2 linked regions of the Arabidopsis thaliana genome follow. The protein of the gene in region 2 interacts with the protein of the main gene of each other region in a biochemical or structural test. Each region holds a gene or a part of one and is shown on either strand. Other genes may lie near its edges.

The links.
Region 1: the proteins of LHCA2 (region 2) and HCAR form a complex in vitro, tested with the Arabidopsis thaliana proteins (one study listed by BioGRID).

What each region holds. Positions count from the first base shown.
Region 1 is NC_003070.9:1,279,155-1,289,802, forward strand, and holds HCAR (coenzyme F420 hydrogenase family / dehydrogenase, beta subunit family), read right to left. Parts: upstream 7,466-10,648; 5' UTR 7,339-7,465; coding exon 7,257-7,338; intron 6,848-7,256; coding exon 6,742-6,847; intron 6,650-6,741; coding exon 6,565-6,649; intron 6,474-6,564; coding exon 6,362-6,473; intron 6,216-6,361; coding exon 6,131-6,215; intron 6,027-6,130; coding exon 5,985-6,026; intron 5,851-5,984; coding exon 5,772-5,850; intron 5,688-5,771; coding exon 5,636-5,687; intron 5,537-5,635; coding exon 5,474-5,536; intron 5,300-5,473; coding exon 5,202-5,299; intron 5,125-5,201; coding exon 5,089-5,124; intron 5,009-5,088; coding exon 4,947-5,008; intron 4,843-4,946; coding exon 4,815-4,842; intron 4,720-4,814; coding exon 4,640-4,719; intron 4,555-4,639; coding exon 4,485-4,554; intron 4,387-4,484; coding exon 4,329-4,386; intron 4,169-4,328; coding exon 4,104-4,168; intron 4,009-4,103; coding exon 3,914-4,008; intron 3,806-3,913; coding exon 3,715-3,805; 3' UTR 3,009-3,714; and 1 more. Other genes in the region: YUC3 (YUCCA 3), read left to right, coding at 370-1,083, 1,246-1,617, 1,950-2,177; AT1G04625 (Polynucleotidyl transferase, ribonuclease H-like superfamily protein), read right to left, coding at 8,677-8,766, 9,078-9,634, 10,540-10,648. UniProt on the Arabidopsis thaliana protein: Probable iron-sulfur flavoprotein that converts 7-hydroxymethyl chlorophyll a to chlorophyll a using ferredoxin as a reducing equivalent. Catalyzes the reduction of a hydroxymethyl group to a methyl group. Belongs to the chlorophyll catabolic enzymes (CCEs).
Region 2 is NC_003074.8:22,742,009-22,750,389, reverse strand, and holds LHCA2 (photosystem I light harvesting complex protein), read right to left. Parts: upstream 4,877-8,381; 5' UTR 4,655-4,876; coding exon 4,602-4,654; intron 4,278-4,601; coding exon 4,090-4,277; intron 3,986-4,089; coding exon 3,471-3,985; intron 3,376-3,470; coding exon 3,358-3,375; 3' UTR 2,946-3,357; downstream 1-2,945. Other genes in the region: AT3G61480 (Quinoprotein amine dehydrogenase, beta chain-like; RIC1-like guanyl-nucleotide exchange factor), read right to left, coding at 78-185, 278-412; BRH1 (brassinosteroid-responsive RING-H2), read left to right, coding at 8,177-8,381. UniProt on the Arabidopsis thaliana protein: The light-harvesting complex (LHC) functions as a light receptor, it captures and delivers excitation energy to photosystems with which it is closely associated, here photosystem I.

The sequences.
Region 1 (10,648 bases), on a different chromosome or scaffold from region 2:
TGACTAATTATTGTATTTGTTGGACGAGGATTAATTTATTACCAATAAGTAAGGGACATATGAAAAAAAAAAAATAAAGAAATAATGGTGGGCTGCAAAGCTTATCATTTGAGATATAAATAACATTCAGAAGCTAAATATATAATAATAATATTTTTACTAATTTTACAATTACCAATTTGCATCAAGTCGTCTTCTCTATTTATACATCTCCTTCTCCAATCCAACAGAACACACACATACACTTACATCTCCATCCTCTTGTCTTAAAAAGTTTCCAAAATCTTTCTTTTTTCTTCTTCTACATTCTTAAAATTTCTTCTGTTTTCTCCTCACAACCAGACAAGCAAACTCTAAACTCTGTGGAAGATGTATGGAAATAATAACAAGAAGTCTATCAACATCACGAGTATGTTTCAAAACCTCATCCCCGAAGGCAGCGACATTTTCTCCCGGCGTTGCATCTGGGTCAATGGACCCGTCATCGTCGGAGCTGGCCCATCAGGTCTAGCCGTTGCTGCGGGCTTGAAACGTGAAGGGGTACCATTCATAATCCTCGAGCGAGCTAACTGCATTGCTTCATTATGGCAAAACAGAACCTACGATCGTCTCAAACTCCATCTACCTAAACAGTTTTGCCAATTACCCAATTATCCTTTCCCGGACGAGTTCCCTGAGTACCCTACCAAGTTTCAGTTTATTCAGTACCTTGAGTCCTACGCAGCCAACTTTGACATCAACCCTAAGTTCAACGAGACAGTCCAGTCCGCTAAATATGATGAGACGTTCGGGCTGTGGCGGGTTAAGACCATTTCAAACATGGGTCAGCTCGGTTCTTGCGAGTTTGAGTATATATGCAGATGGATTGTGGTGGCAACGGGAGAGAACGCTGAGAAAGTTGTGCCGGATTTTGAAGGTCTAGAGGATTTTGGCGGCGATGTTCTCCATGCTGGTGACTATAAATCCGGTGGAAGGTACCAAGGGAAAAAGGTTTTGGTGGTGGGATGTGGAAACTCCGGTATGGAAGTCTCTCTCGATCTCTACAATCACGGAGCAAACCCATCGATGGTCGTTCGTAGCGCTGTAAGTACCAAAAGTCTTAAACCAAAAAAAAAAAAAAAGTACCAAAAGTTCAAATCTTTATAGCCCCTAAAACAGAGCATCCTCTGTTTCTGTTACTCTGTTTTCTAAAACAGAGCAGTATCTAATAGTCTGTGTTTTTTTTTCCTTTCTTGATTTTATCAGGTTCATGTTTTACCAAGAGAGATTTTTGGGAAATCAACGTTTGAATTAGGAGTTACGATGATGAAGTATATGCCCGTTTGGCTCGCGGACAAGACTATACTCTTTCTGGCGAGGATTATCTTGGGGAATACCGATAAATACGGTCTAAAAAGGCCGAAAATTGGACCGTTAGAGCTAAAGAACAAGGAAGGCAAAACTCCGGTTCTTGACATCGGAGCGTTACCCAAAATCAGATCGGGAAAGATCAAAATCGTCCCCGGAATCATAAAGTTCGGCAAAGGCAAAGTTGAGCTAATAGATGGCCGTGTTCTTGAGATTGATTCCGTTATTCTAGCTACTGGATACAGAAGCAACGTCCCTTCATGGCTTAAGGTAATAAATAAAACATCTTTCATTCATTGTTTCTTCTCAAGGTTTAGCTTAAATTTTAGACATTTAATGATGTCGGAAGACAAAACACACAAAAAAAACCACCCGACCCGGTCCTAGTTTAGTGAAAACCCTACTCAAATTGTGTTTCGAATGTGAGCAATAAATGCAAATGAACCATTAACATTTATATTTTCATCGAAAAGGATACAAAAACGTGGTACTAGTTTTTGGTTAGAAATAGAAATCCGGTAATGACAGTTAGGACTAAGAATTAGGTCAATAAATTCGTATGTGTACTAATTTGGTGTGTTGAATTTTAATTGTATTAACAGGACAACGACTTCTTCTCCGATGATGGGATACCAAAAAACCCGTTTCCAAACGGATGGAAAGGAGAGGCGGGATTGTATGCGGTAGGGTTCACGAGAAAAGGATTGTTTGGTGCGTCGCTTGATGCTATGAGTGTGGCTCATGATATTGCTAATAGGTGGAAAGAAGAGTCTAAGCAACAGAAGAAAACTGCTGCTGCTCGTCATCGTCGTTGTATTTCACATTTCTAATCATCATTATCAAATTTAGGGAAAAAAATATTCAAAAAAAGAAGAAGATAATTAAGCCCTCTCCTCGGAAGAAAATACCCCCAAAAAAAAGAGAATTGTGAAAAGAAAAAAATAATAGGGGGATTTTTCTTTGTTTTTTTAGGAAGATGTGGCTTTTTTATGTATTTTTATTTTAAGAGTGCTTTATTTTGTTGTTGTATTTTTTTTAAATCTTCATTTTAGATTTTGAACTCTTGTAAGAAGTTTTGCTTAATCTAATATGACAAATATATTTTACGGTTTTGTAATTCTTTTCTCAACGATGCATGTTGTGTTATCTCTATGATGATGTTGTTGATCAGGAAAAGAAACAACTAATTTCATGCTGTTTCATTATTGGAAGAATACTCTCACAAGTTAGAGCTGTTATTTAACTGATTAAGGAATTATTAGCCATTTTGTAATCATTATATTTGGCAAATGATTGATTTACACATGATTGTCTTGGACAGTCCATATTAAAGTTGTTTCATGGATTACAACCTCCAGGGAACACAAGTTGAAAATACTGAAACATGCATTTCTGTAGGATATGCAAAATCCATTAGGGATGAACAATGTATCTAATTTGAAACACAGATGGATAATAAATATAACATTATACAACTTTCTCAGAAAAACTTGAGTGAAATCATATATTATATATGATGTTGGATCTAGTTATAAATATATATATACTGAAACAGATACAGATACAGATCCAAAATATGCAATACGTAAATGAATTCTCTAACATTGTTATATGTCAAATTGCAACTCAAAATTAATTCAAGGTACCAAAGTAAGCTTTATTTCACTTAAATATATTATTAGAAAAAACGTTTACATGCTCTGTATTAGGACAATGCCTCTGGTGAGAAAAAATCAACTATGGTGCAAAAGAGCAGAGACATTTATGAGTTTCACTTGAGGTCTGAGAGTCTCTGCAGCAAAGTCATTGAACGAGCAGAGCAGAGACTTGACTAACAAAAAGACAAAAAAAGAAAAAAAGAGAGAGAGTAAAATTTGAAGTTTCCAATGTGTGAAATATGGTGATGAGTAAGTTAGTGAGTGAGTGAGTGAGTGAGCGAGCGAGTGAAGCTTAACCATGGTTCCTTCTTCTTTGTCCAAGCAAAAAAAAGACATTAAAAGCTAATTCCCCCCAACTGTGTAAATGTCTGGTTCCCATCCTCTTAAAACAGTTATTCATGTTCTCATGCAAAACCCTGCAACCTTTTACTCGGACATCACCTTAACCTAAAGATATGGAGGAAGGAACCCACATGGGTTGATTTGGATTCAGCCGCTGATTTAGACTGTTTCTTATTCTCTGTTCTCTGCCAAAAAACACCAAACCGACCCATCTTTTCTTGCCGGTGTCTTACCAAATTCACGAGGGAAATAGTTTTGGATATTACTAACATACTACAAGTTGAGAAACAGTAGGACCAATGTACATTTACTCACTTGTAGGATGAAATATACATTTGGAAACTTACATGAGAAAGGCCTAAAATGTTCATTTCTTGGAGAGCATTTTATCTATTTGGCCGTTTTTGTTGTACATTTCCACTATCTTTTTGGCATATGATGGCATGTGGGTGTTTGCTCTGTAGATGGTAATGCAGCTTTGGTCATTAGAGAACGATCCAATAGTATAGAAATACACAGTTGATCGCAATAAACTTTTATCTCTAGGAGTGTGTTTCAGATCTTACCTTTGCTTTCCCCATTTGCGGTTTACGTACAAATAGTTTCTGATGGTATGGTAGTCCAACGAGTACCGAGCAAATTCTAGACCCTTAGGACCAACCTGAAGCAAGAATGGTTTTGCAAGTTAAGAAACTCTTTGACTTTTTATGCAATGAGCTTGTTTCTCGGTTTGTGTTCATAAGGAAATAATCTTACCAAATTTAGGATGAACGCAATAATGTTTCCAACAAATAGTGGCGCTGGCTGAGCAGGACCTTGACCTAAGAAATTATAGACTAGTTAGAAGACTTTAGCACAATGTTAGTTGCATGCATTTGCTGAGAACTTTCTTTTTGGCATCTAGCTTTGCTTGAAACTGAATGTCTTTAAGCAGAGACGATTCAAGAAACAAAAGAGTTTCGAATACGTTTGAAAACATACCAAACTTAGCAGCATCGTCTGCCTTAACAGTTTCTGTCACAAAAGGTCGCCGATCACCCTGAAACAACAACAAAAGGTGTGTTTGTTCATGTTATTTGTTAAGTGGACTCTTAAAGTCTTAAATATAACAACAAATATAAATGTTAGAAACTTTACGCTGCTGATTGTTGGAGTGATCTCCAAAAGGTTTTCTACCAAGCTGAGCATTTCTTTCCCACGTTCATTTCTGTGGTTTAAGGCATAAACAAAACTAATTTTATCCAACCACGAGAACCTATATGGTCCATGTCAAAATACGTAGAAATATTGACCTCACTGTAATATACTGTGGATGGTCAGTCATGTTCAGACCTGAATACTTCGGAACACCCATGTAACCGATAACCAAATCCTAGATAAACAAGCTCATACATATCAGGAAATGTTTGAAATTGGCAGAATCAAAATTAAGTGAAAAGACATCTTAATTGCTAGAGAAACACTCACCGCTAATGCATTTGTGTAATCAAAGCAGCTGCAGAATAAAAAAGATAGGGTTTGTAATTGTAGACAAGTTTTAAAAATTTCCGACAGGTTATCTATTTCAAGGTATAGAGACAATGCAGAGACTTGTATTACCTGTAACACGATGGAGCTATGACATCTACTAAATCGTTTGCAGGTAGAGAGAAATAGGGAACCTGCTTTAGCCAAAAAAAGTTTTTTAAAAACGGCTTTCAGCTGCAATTGCAGAGCAACACAGTATTTTAAGCGAATTTACCTCTTCAATGTGTCCATCCAAGTGTTTGAGTTGGACCTATAAGAGAAATTGAACAAGATTGGCATCACCAAAGAAAATGCACAGATAAGTGATGGTTTTGTATTAATGCTAACCTTGTAATCTTGCATAAATTCATAATGGAGAACAGTCTCTGGCTCTTTACTAGCTGCTTTCAGAAACTTGTCTAGTCCATCTCGTGTTCCGTTGTCCACTATTAATCAAAGATGTTCTTTTTACTTGTTTAAAAATGTATAAGCATTTCTAGACCTAAGCATACAAGACTCCGAAATAACATATACAACATGGAATGTTCAAAAGTACAACACAAGAACTAGTTGTGAAAGTTCTGGAGAAAAAACAAATCTAGATAGGATGAGGAAAATACCACAATTGGTGCCTAGTACATACAACTTTTCCAGATTCAGATGCTGCTCCACTGATCTCAATGCTGCAGTATAAGAAATCACTCTGCATTACAATACTATGAGAGTCACGATATGGAGAAACTTGAAATATACGTCCACAAAAAAGTATGTTGAGCCCATACCTTGCACTTGGCAACCCACACCGCAAAACAGAAGACGCTTCACTCCGGAAGCCTGTTACAATACAAATTCTAAGTTCATGTGAAATGGATTCAGTGATTGAAAACACAAACAAGAAATAAGGGTTTGGCAAATAACCTCGATTAATTCAAGAGTATTCAGATTAGGAGACAGAGTTGGCTTGACACCTCTTGCAGCCAAAACTTCTTCAGGTGTCCTTAGAATGAAAAGAAATGAAACATCAATACGCTTCTATATCCAGAGTAACAGCAAAATATGGATCCACATCTAAAAAATGGCGACTTGAAGAAGAATGGACTCAAAATAAACCACATTAGGAAGGTGGAAAACCTGGCTAATACTGGTCTTGGAGATAATCTGTCTTCAGGATCACTGTAATATTTCAATAAATCAGTTACATGGATAGATGGAAAAATCTACAGCATGGTCGATAAATGTAAGCCTAGTCCATTTCTGAAATTCAACAGTAGTTTTACCTCTGCACACAAACGACAGCTTCAACCATATTAGATTTCAGCATCTCAATGGCTATGGTTGTGACAATTCCAGTCCACTGAGCTCCTGCAACCGAAAATAGAATGAAAAGTAAACAACAAAGCTAAGCTAAATTCATCTTGAACGAGACACAAAAGTGCCCTAGCTTAGATTGAGCCAGGAAAAGAAGTTAGTAGAAAATGTGGAACAGTGGAAGGGAAGTGTCTATTTACCTTCGACAGGCTTCAACTTACGAGCATAGAGCTGCTCTTGATGCACCCCAAAATATGTATCTTGTAAGGAATCTGCTTTCCTTCCTCTACCATGCACAACAGGTTCCAAGCTCTGCACAAGAACTTAAAATATTAACAAAATAAGAATCTTAGCCCATCAATTAAAAAGAGTATCAAATCTTATCCATTTATATGGACATTACCTCAATCCTTGACATTCCATCTCCAAGAAATGCACATGCCTCCTTCACATGGGCAATGTAGTAGGTGTCGCATAGCCCGCACTGACTGCAAACCCATCAGAACACCAAGGATCTTGATAAGAATGAGACAAAAATAGTGAGGTAAACAAACAAACAAACAAAAAAGAAAGAAAAAACCTGCAATGGTCTTTAGCTGGATAGGTTCCTCCGGGTGGGATAGGTCTGGACTTTTCTCTCCAGTCTTCTCTTAATTTAACCTTCTTTTTTGGCTCTAGATTCATATCTGCAATTAAAGCCATAAGAGAAGGGTTCATGCAGGCTTCAGAGAGAAGATAAAAACACACAAGACAAAGATCGATGCTATACGAAACAAAAATCTGTTCCGAAATTCTGATGCTTTCAAACAGAATTGACATTATGCAGTAATACATACTAAGTTAACACAAGATTTCTATCTTCAAACTCGATAGTGACAGCTGTGGAAGACCAAATCAAGCATTCGACAAACATTACCACTATGTTCGAAAAGAAAACTCCGAATCTTAGATAAAATTTCATCCCTTTAACGAATTTCAGGGATCGGTTACACTGAAATTTTGTATAAGACGGGTCTTTTAAAAAACTGAAGAATCAACGACGTGTGTAAAACAGAGTGCTATAAAGAGAAGACGTGGCAGAAATAAATTGAGCACCTTTGGAACGCGAAGAAGAAGAGTTAACGACGGAGAAGACTGGAGGAAGGAGAGAGAGCCTGGAGGTGACGACAGTAATCATGGTTGCCCAGCCAGAGAAGAAGAGAAGAAGAGAAGAAGAGAAGAGAGTAGAGAGAGAGAAAAGAAGATATTTTTTTGCTTTTGAACTTGGATATCTTTTAGGAACCAAACTTGATAACCAATTCTTAACCGGACTGAATGGTTTTGGTTCGTAAGAGCTCTTTCACGGGCTTTCTCCATTTTTTTATTATTAAAATTTTTAAAAAGTTATAAGAGAGTTTTAATTTTTTTTCATATTCTAATGGTAAGCTCTCTTATAAGAGTTTTCTGAAAAATAAAATAAAATTTAAAATAATTATATTTCATATAACTTAATAACTATTGTAAATCAGAAAATATTAAACATATATTATTTTGAAACATTTTAAGAAAGATATGAAAATAAAAACACGGAATAACGATAAGTTCTGTCGATTGTTGCAAAATTTAAAGATTGAAAATAAGAACAAATTGTTTTAAAGAATAACAAGATTGTCGATTAAATCGGTTTTAATTTAAGGACTAAAGTGATAATTTGTATAAAGTATAAGCTCTGATATGATTATAAGTGACTCTATTGCTATATATCTGAAATTCATCTTCTTGTTTCTGTCTCCTTAACTGAATCCATAATGTGTTTATATAGTTATTCATCATATGTTCACAGAATTCTGTGTTTCTTTCATGTGCTAATTGGTACAATGTTAGTTTAATTTTAAGAGTTAAAAATATTTGTACACAAATTAAAGTTTTCACATAATAGTTTTCAGTCTCATATATTGCAACAAGTCTCTATGCAAGCTAACACAAAGGCAGTCTTCCTATGCAAGCTCTTTAGCACATCATTCAGATTATCTGATCGAACTACATACATGGCCACTAACACATAGTCACATACTAACCATCTCCTAACTTGTATTGGTTAAAACGCTCAATTTATAACACCACAACATCGACAAGAAATCGAGAGTAACAACTAAAACATGCTTCCACGACTCTCTATGATTCTACAAATAAACAACAGAGACTACAATAGCATTACTCTAGTTACAAGCAGAACCTAGACAACATAACAAAAGCCAATTCTTGATTCAGAACAAGGAATGATGACTAACTCAAAATGATTGTCAAAGAAACCCATTTCAATACTCTAAAATTGGAAAGCATCAATATAGCAAATGATCATAAGTGGCTGATACAAGGTCCAAAGCATGGATTACGAGAAGAAAACAAAAAATCCACCTTCTTCTTCTTCTTTTGTCTTTTTAGCCTCTGTTTGTTTCTGTTCCTCTCTTACAAAAAGAACTCACCGATCACGAGAACGTCAAAGCTCGATGATCACCATCCATTTTCACCACCGTCAGAACCGTCGGAACTGTAACTCGGTGATCACACCATCAATGATCTCGCCACCGTTTGTCTCTCTGTTTTCTTGCGTTTCACGATCTCTCTAGCAAATCATGGCGGATCTCACCGAGAGTCCCAAGTATTGACGCAAACCACGCGCCGTTGTCACGAGACTCAGGTATGTTGCTTCTCGCTTAAATTCCTATTTGATCTCTTGGAACCTTGGATTTTTAATATTTAGTTTCTGCACAAAAAAGGTCTCTTTGAATTAGGTCAATCAATATTTAGTTTTCTAACCGCAATTTCATCGGAGGAACTAGGGTTTGATCTTGTAGTTTTTTTTTTTTTCCTCAAACATCAGCTTTATTAATAATTTGCTGTAGCAAAGTCGCGATGTAAAAAATCAGTTATTACAAACGGGATATAGTTATAGCAATAAAACTGAGTGTTCAAAGGAAGTTGTTGTTTTGCCAGAGCATCTGCAGCCATGTTTGAAAATCGCCTTGTCCAAGTAAACTTGCATTCTTCAAATTTTGATCTCCAAGCGCTTATATCTCTTATCCAATTAAAAACTGCAAAATTTGAAGACCGACCATTGACAATCTCTGAGACTTCTTTATTGTCACCTTCAAAGTAAATTTTCCTATAGCCCCTACTCCAACAATGTTGCATGGCCATGACTAAAGCTTGGAGTTCACTTTCCATCGGATTGGTAGTAATAGAGCCTATAGCATGAGCTGCACCTAGAAAGGTTCCTCGATCATCCCGTAAGAGCCAACCCGCTTTACTCGGAGCGTTGCTGTGGTAAGTGCCGTCATAGTTGCATTTCGTCCAACCAATAGGGGGTGTTGTCCAGAGATTAGCTGTTGGTTCTTGTGACGTTACTCTGTCAGGTTTTGATGATAAACGGTGGGTGTACTCTTCTGCATCTTGCCATTCTTTGGCGTCTTGTCTTGCATATCGGAGAGAAGCTTCCCATGGAATGATCTTGTAGTTTAGTTTTACAAAATTGACCTAAAATTGGTGGATAATGTTACGACAGAGCTACACTAGGACTTTGGAATGGGCTTTGCTGTATGAGGCCTTCGTTACACTAGGACTTTCTTCATTCTAACTTTTTTTCTTCTTTTCTTTAAAAATTATTTTAACCAAAACTAAAACTTTCACTAAAACATTTAAATAAATAATTTTTTAAAGGTTTTTTATAAATACTAAATTAATATGACGTTGTGAAATCTAACCGGATTTTTGATCCCGCCATTTAACCGTGGTCATTAGCGATTCCATAAATCCAACATATTTTTCACATCTTCATGTATATTTAGCATTTATTTTTTGTTTTCTTTTCTTAAAAGTTTTTCAAATTTTTTTTGATTTTTTTAAAAGTTTTAATAAATACTAAATTAATATAACGTTGTGAAATCTAACCAGATTTTGGATCCCGCCATTTAACCGTGGTCATTAGCGATTCCACAAATCCAACATGTTTTTCACATCTTCATGTATATTTAGCATTTAATTATTTTTATTTTATTTTTTTAAAAATGTTTTCAACTCTCTTTTTTTTTCCTTTTTCTTTTTTTTAAAAGATTTTATAAATACTAAATTAATATGACGTTGTGAAATCTAACCGGATTTTGGATCCCGCCATTTAACCATGGTCATTAACGATTTCACAAATCTAACATATTTTTCTCATTTTCATGTACTATATTTAGCATTTAATTTTATTTATTTTCTGAAAAGGTTTTACTCTTTTTTTCATTTTCAAGAACTCTTGTTTTCAAAATTTTATTGTTTTGGATATTAAATTCACATATAATTATATATGATTTGGTTCGATTTCACTCGGTAAGCTTTTTCGAATATTTTTCACCTGGAGCTGTCAAATAAGCCAATTTCTTGCAGCTTGCTGATGAATCATGAAACTGTTTTTGCCTCATATTACGATTGAAACACTTAAGAGAAAACCAATACAAGAAGAA
Region 2 (8,381 bases):
TCAGCTGGATAAAGATTGATAGTGACTAAACAATTAGCAGAAATTAGCAAAGGAAAAGAGTGAGACTAAGAACTTACAAGAACAGCAATCAATTTGGAGTCTGGACTCCACACAGCTTGCAAATTCTCTCCTTCTTCTCGCAACGACTTGTCATCTCTCATATACTTTCCCAACCTCACTCGTTGCTAATTGCGGGAAAATCAAACAAAAAGCTATATAAGTTAACCAACTCTAGACTCCAATTACTACGAAATGCAGAGAGATGATGATAAAGCACCTGAGAAGAACCCCAAAGCTCCAGGTGAGACGGAGAAACGACCAGTAATAGCCGGCCGGCGAGCTTAAGGTACACGACTCGCTGCGATCCAGGTAGAAGCGGGATCACCTGCGGCCACCCGTAAGCCATATACATCTTTGGCTACCTCGAATTGAAATGGCTATCTCTCTCTACAATGGATCTGATTACAGATTCTGTTCATACACAGAGATCATAGGAACATTCGTTGGAAGAAGAAGAAGGAGAAGAAGAAGAAGATGGATCTCGCAGTCGCAGATCAATAAACGCTCAATAAACGGAGCATCAAAATTGGAATTGCCCGACCGGTTTATGTTGATCGGATTTTAATTTTGCGAATATAATTGGTTTCGGTGATACGAATCTAATTTTACGAATAAACCGGGAATCAATTATTGATTATCCTTGGTTCAAGGAGAACTCTCTCTCATTTCTCGGTTTACTCAAACCATTCTATAGACTATTAATTTAATTCTATAGAGTAATAATAATAGAATTACAAAACTAGTATACCTTCGTCTAAATTTTTAATAATTAATAATACAACTAAACTTTTGTTCTTTTTTAATCTGAATTTCCGATGTTTGATAAGTTTATATTAATTTATGATAATGATTATTAATTTATAATATTACTAGACTATATAATTACATTATATTTCCAACCAAATTATTATTTTATTAAATTATGTTAAATACTACATTGATCTCACTCGAGATTAAAAAAATAATTAATTTATAGTAATTACTAATTTATCGAGTGAGATCCTTTCTTCGTACAAAATATTTACGAATTTAATCGGTTACATATTGTGAAAGTAAACATTTTATTTAGTATTATTGAAGCTAATAACGATTTCATTAAGACACTCGTGCTATATGATACTAAAAAAAAATCAAATAGATACAAGACGTTACTTAGCTTGTTCAAAAAATAGTACTCACATGACAGAGATTCTGATGCCCCCATACTCTTTCACTTTTCTTAGTTTTATTTTTTTGGTCAAATATATAATTTCATTTGGCTAAAAGATTTAGAAATTGGAGATACAAATATTTGTCATCAAACAAGTAACATGTCTTGTCACTAACTAAACAAGAAATGATTAAAATGTATATTTATGAAAAAGCTAAACCACATATGTGGGTTGATACTTTCCATGGGTTGATTAGTTTTGACACCAAAACATAATTAAAAAAACGAGTCAGTTAAAAATAAAGTCGGATTACTTGGTTTGAAAAGAATTCTGAAACGCTAAACAAACTACACATATGTGAACTTAAAAAAATTTGGGTTGGGATTTTTTGTTTTTGACTTTAATCAACCGTTGTATTATTAATATTGATATGTGTGTTGTATAAAATGTCTTTGATAAAGAGGTATTTATATCCAATATCCACTTGTATCTCTACTATTTCTCTAGGTTAAAGAAAATAATATTTATTGTAAGTTTCATATTTAATAAAATAATATTTCTACGATTTCATAGAAACCCCAAAAAATAAACAATTAAATTTCATGTACTACTATGTAAGTTTTTTTTAGCTCTCTCTCTCTCCTCCGTGCACCATTTCCCGATCATCACCGCCGTGCACCATATTCCGATCATTACCATTGCTTTCTCTGTCTCTCTCCCTCTTCTCCGTGCTCTCTCTCTCTCTCTCGTGTTTTTATATAAAAGTACTTAAGAAAAAAACAAAAAAACAAAAGATGGTTCTTCGTTCTCACACACTATATATTCGGAAAACCATCTATATAAGCTCTCACTCTCTCTCTCTGGATGGAAGCTCTCGCTCTGATCTCACAATGTAAGCTCTCTCTTTCTCTCTCTCTCTGTTGTGTGTTTGTATTTCTCTCCGACGCTAGATTTCTCCATGGTTCTTATGAGCTGAGCACCGCCGAAGCTTTCCTCTGCATTCCGTCTTCTCTCTCTGTTTTTTTCTCCTTTCTCCGACAACATCTCCGACTCTAGACTTCTCCATGGGTTTCTTATGAGCACCGCCGAAGCTTTCCTCTGCCTTCCGTCGTTTCTCTCTGTTTTTTTTCTCCTTTCTACGACCCTATGAACACCGCCGAAGCTTTCCTCTGCATTCCGTAGTCCCTCTCTTTTGTCTCTTTCTCCAACCCTAGCTCTCTCTCTTCTCTTCCGTTTATCACCATCGCCGTTAGCCCGTTACCATTCTATAGACTATTAATAATGGGATTACAAAACTAGTATACCTTCGTCTAAATTTTTAATAATTAATAACATAACTAAACTTTTATTCTTTTTGTAATCGGAATTTTGATGTTTGATAAGTTTATATTAATTTATGATAATGATTATTAATTTACGATATTACTAGACTATTTAGTTACATTAGATTTTCAAACAAGTTATTATTTTATCAAATGATGTTAAATATTACATTGATCTAACTCGAGACTGAAAAAATAAGTAATTTATAGTGATTACTAATTTATCGAGTGTTAATTGATAGAGGTTCTTTCTCTGTACAAAATATTTACAAGTTAAACTTCAATTTACTCATGTGTTCACTTTTTTCCACCTTATCTATTTGGAAGTTGTATAATTGCTAAATCATGTTCATAATTAACGTATAACTACTATCTTAGATTTAACTTTAGTGAATATGCATTAGACAATAACAAATTTTCAGTTGATTTTCAATATTTAAATTTGTCATGTTATATTGAGAGAGAGAGAAAAGAAGATAGGTGAGAAAGAGAGATTTAGAAAAAGGTAAGCAAGAGAGAGAGAGAAAGGTGAGAAAGAGATATTCGGAAAGAGAGAAAGGTAAGAGAGAGAGATAGAAGAAGAACATAAGCTTAGATATCAACAATAACGAAAAACAATTAAGATGGACTCTTTTATGCTCCGAATGACAATGTAAAAGCATCTTATGATCATTGAGTTAGGAAAAGAGTGTTACGGGGAACCTTAATTTGCATTCGACCACAATTTATATAAAGTACATAATAATTTTAAGTTCAAAATGATATTTGTACAAACATGATCACACACAAACGCATTCACCTCCCCATAACCCTTTTTCGTTGTCTCACTTGGGTGTGAAAGCCTGTAAAAAAAACACACACACAAAAGCTAGTCAATTAAACGTGTCGACGTTATGAACATTTAGTAAAGATATGTTTTGATTTGGATCACACTTACAGCGAAGATTGTGGCGTGACCAGGATCAGCAAGATGTGCAAAAAGGTTATCAATAGGACCAGTGCCAGTGTAGATGTGTTGGAACCAAGCACCCATCACTGCCAACATAGCCAACCTTCCGTTCTTGATCTCCTTGGTCCTCAACTCCTTGAGCTTAGCCGGGCTACCGGATCCCCAACCCAACGGGTCGAACCATAACCCACCTGGGTAACCAACGTCTGTGCCCGTCAGTTTGTTGTTTGGGAAGACTGGGTCAGTGTTGACGCTACCGGGCTTGATGATATCGGCCCATCTACGTCCTTCTGCCCATCCGATCAAAATGAGCTCAACGACAAAGAGTGTGGTTTTGTCCGTGAAATACTCTTGCTCTCCCGCCGTGTACCATGACGGAGTGTTGAGGATTCCGATCTTCGTTAGGAACTCTGGGATGAATATCCCGGCGGCTCCTAGCATAGCCCATCGGCAGTGGACTATCTCGGCTTGTACGTTCCATTTTAGACTGTCCGGGTCCGATGCTGACATGTGTCTAAATTTTGTCAGAAAATTATAAATATAGTCTAATTTTGTTTATAAAACTTGTTAAAAAGCATGCAAGGAGGAACAAAAAAAATATACTCACAAAGACCAAGAGGATCAAATCCGAAGTCACCAGGGAGGCTACCGTCTAGCCACTCTGGAGGAGTGCTTCCCGGGAACCAGATTGGTCTATCTGGATCAGCTGCGACGGCGCGCACCGACGCATCTGGCCTGGACACAGCTGGAACAGTCAACTTCTTCTTCAGCCTCAGTTTCTTACCACCCAAGAAACTGCACATATATCATAGCCCTAAAAATTTAGTCACAACTTCAATAACACCAACCATGCATAAATTCATATTATTACATAGGGCAGATCGGTGTTTGGATCACACAAACAATAGTCGCACAACGTTTAATCTAAATGGATGATGGATCACTAATTTTACAACCGCACACACATTCTCGGATACTAGATCATAAATCCCAATCAATGGATCACTATCATAGTCATGTTAACGAAACTAATTAAGTACAACTGTACAAGGATCTTAGTCTCATTCCTACATAGCAAGTGATGATAACTGATAAGAAGAGAGAAAAAGATGAGCTTACCTTGGAGAAGAAATGGCAGCGATGGCAGAAGAAGCACAAAGAGATGATGCCATTATTCTCGACGTTGTTGACCTTCAAGACTCAGAGTGTGTTAGAAGAAGAAAGAAACGAACGTGTGTTGTGTAATCTATAAAAGCACTCTGGTGACAAAATCAGATTCTGCTTATCTGATTATCCCTACGGATAACGCACTGAGTTTCCTCATTGGTCAACTCATTGGCACGTGGCAACTTCGTCCCACCACATCTTAGATTTTCTCTCTATTTGAACATAACTATTAACTGAGTTTTAAAGAAAGAAAATATAAGCTAGTATTCCAAGTGACTGGGCTTATAAAGAATACCAAAGCCCATATGTTTTTGGGCTTTTTTTAATCTTCAGCTGATAGCATTAGGCCTTCAAGAAAATAACTACGGCTTTAACATTTGCCGGAGCGGGACCTCATTTATGTACCTTCTACAAATTAATTGCAATTTTTCTATATCCAATTTGATAATAAAAACATGGAGTGGTACCAAGCAAAAAGAAACATGAAGTGGTACCATGTGACGTGTAGGAGAAAGACAAGACGACGAGATCTAAGACTGTATACTCACTAGCAAAATGATTAAATATCTATAAACATCGTTGTTAATCGATCATATATTATTATAGCGAATGATTGTATACGTTTATCTCTTTCTATCTAGAAAACCACCCCTGCTTTGTAGGAAACAAAATTGCGAATCACATCTATAAAATCTTATGATTAGCAAAACACTGATTAGCCATGTTTTATGTGACCTATAAATTATGAGATTCATAAAGACATCAGTAGGAATAGGAATCATAAAGATAGAGAATAAGCTAATTATATCTTTATCGTATAATATCAACAACAAAAGGTTCCTAAGACCCTAACAGAGACTGAATACATGAACTCCAATCTTTTTATTTGAAAAACAATTATAGTGTAATAAAAAAATCTGTATTGTCGTGACTTTTTCAGTATCATCTAAAATTTTATTTAATTACAAATGAAGCAATGATTGAACCTCATATTCCACCGAAACATCATCTTAAATCTAAGATCAATATTGGATCAAATAGGGTTTAAAGTAGGGTATATAGTTATGAAACAAACAAGAAACAGTCAATCAAGTATATTCGTATCGATGCATCATGGGACCAGAGAACGAGATGGTGCGAGTATTCAAAAATTAAACAGTGACATGACAAAGAGAAGTGTGGGAGAGGTAGGAGATGAGATGATATGCATACAAGCAATAGGGCCATGTGGCTGTCTCGGCCTCATTATAACATTTCCAAATCAACACACCATTCTCCATACTTATTTCGTTCCTCTTATCGTTTTAGAGGGTTTTTTTTTTTGGATCGATGGTAATTGACAAATTGCATGTTTTTTTGTCGTATAACATACACATTGACTAGTTGAGCATCATGAATTTTCTCATTGAAGTTTGGTTTGAATTTTGTGACATTAATTGATTACAAAATTCTACTACAATACATGTATTCTTGTACTACCATCGTGTATAACTAATAAAATAATTTATAAATGTATAGGTGTATTAATGCGTTATTATGGTACCAATACGTCTTGTCAAAATAACTTTGAATGATTTTGACTATAACAACAAAATGAGCTCAAACGTTGATGGTTTACGAGTTTTTGATACTTTTGTGGGTTTTTGTGACCGTTCTACTAGGCTATATAGATTTTCTTATTGTTATTTTTTTTTTTTTTTGAATGCGTTTTCTAATTATAAGGTTTCAGAATTCAGCGTGTGATTATAAATAAGGCCCATACTTCATAAATATTACCAAAAAACATCAATTTTATTATTTATCTCTGGTTATTTTTGAGTGAGTCAACTATATATAGGCTATAGAACCAAATAAATTCCTACTAAGTTTGAATATATCATCGTAAGTAAGTTGTACATCTTATGAAAAAATTTCCACATGACTATAAGTATTAGAGTATATATATACGACCACTTGATTTTAAAATACGATTATAGATAACAAAACATATATGTTCATTGCAAAAACGACATTTCTCCGATCATAGTTGAGCCATGAACCATTGCCGGTTGGTGGAAGGATCATTGCCACCGACGACTTGTCTCCTATACCTCTCTCCGGTCCACCACTCAGTTAAACAATAGACTTTTTTCTACTTTTATATAATTATTAATTATGTATATATATAATCTATCATTTTCGAAATTGAGGGTGAGGGGTATAGATAAGGTTGATTCCTCTTCTTTATTAATCATCTCTTTAAAGCCTCCTTGACCCACACACACCCTTCTCTCGTTTCTCTTTGCTTTCTTCATTTTTTTTTTTTGAACTTTTGCTTTTGTAATGTTTTTACTCAACCTAATATGCCTTTAATTTGATCATCAAATATATATATTTCAATTAAACATTGTACCGATCTCAAAACATATTATCATCTTTTTCAAAACTAGAAGCAATCCTAACTATATTACTGTAGTCAAAATAAGAAACTAATCCAAACCGTAGTGCAAATTAGAGCATAGTTTCCTATATATATAAGAAAGACAAAAGCAGCTTACCAAAAAAAAAAAAGAAAGACAAAAGCAATGAACTGGTTTATAGAAATAGTAATATTTTAGGTGATCCCTCGCATTATTTGATATATACACCTCCACTGATGCCAACATAGAATCACAAAACAAATATCTAAACTTGTTAAATAAAGAAAAGAACCTAATACAGTAGTTAGCTACTTAGCTTATCATATGTAATTACAAAAGAATTTTATACTTTTCAAATACATTTGTTGTTTTCCTATAACCAGTATAAATGCTAATAGAGACAACGCATGAGACCTCTTTGACGTGTGATTTACGGAATGAAGCTCAGCCATTTGATCTTACTTTACTACAAGATTAGTTAACGATCTTGATAAAATTTTCATATACTAATGTCTTTTAAAATAATGATAATTAGTGCTCTATTTTTTGTTTGTTCTTATGAAAATGTCCTAATACCGAGAACGTAACCCTATTTATCTACTGCCTAGTGTAAATTTCACGTGTTAAATAACATTCAACGAATCCCAAAAATTAAAATTAAAAAACGTAATTCCATTTATAAAAAAATAGGACGAATTAATTCCTCAATCCACATCAACCGCACGTACCACGTGTGCTGATCGTCGTGCAACTTGCAGATACTTTTATTCCCAAAAAAAAAAAACCAAGTTATACTGTAGAGACGCACGTAGCCAAATCCAACAATGTTGGTGACAGAACCAAATCTCACAGTCCAACTTCAATCTTTTCCCATTTCTACTCTTTTTCACCTCATTGGAACGTTCACATAACAAACGTCACAGTCAGTTAACTCTATCAAAATCAATCTTACACGACACGATGTCGTTTAGACGAATCCTGTACCTTCCTTCCTTCCTTCATCTTCTTCCTTCCTTTGATTTCTATAAATCAAACTCCTCATGACATTAAAAAAATCAACTTTTTCAAAAAAAGGAAAAAAAACAGAGCTCACTCATTATTATCTCTCTAAAAACCCTAGCTTTCTCCATGGGCTTTCCCGTAGGTTACACAGAGGTTTTCTTACCGAAGCTTTTCGTACAAACGCTTTCGATTCTCGGATTCATCAGAACCATCGTCTTCTCTATCTTCCGCTTCTTGGGTCTCTCAGATTTTCTCGAAATGGATCAAACCTGGCCCGATTACACATCGTACCCGACCCGAATACCCGAAACCCGCTCACCTTTCTCCGCAC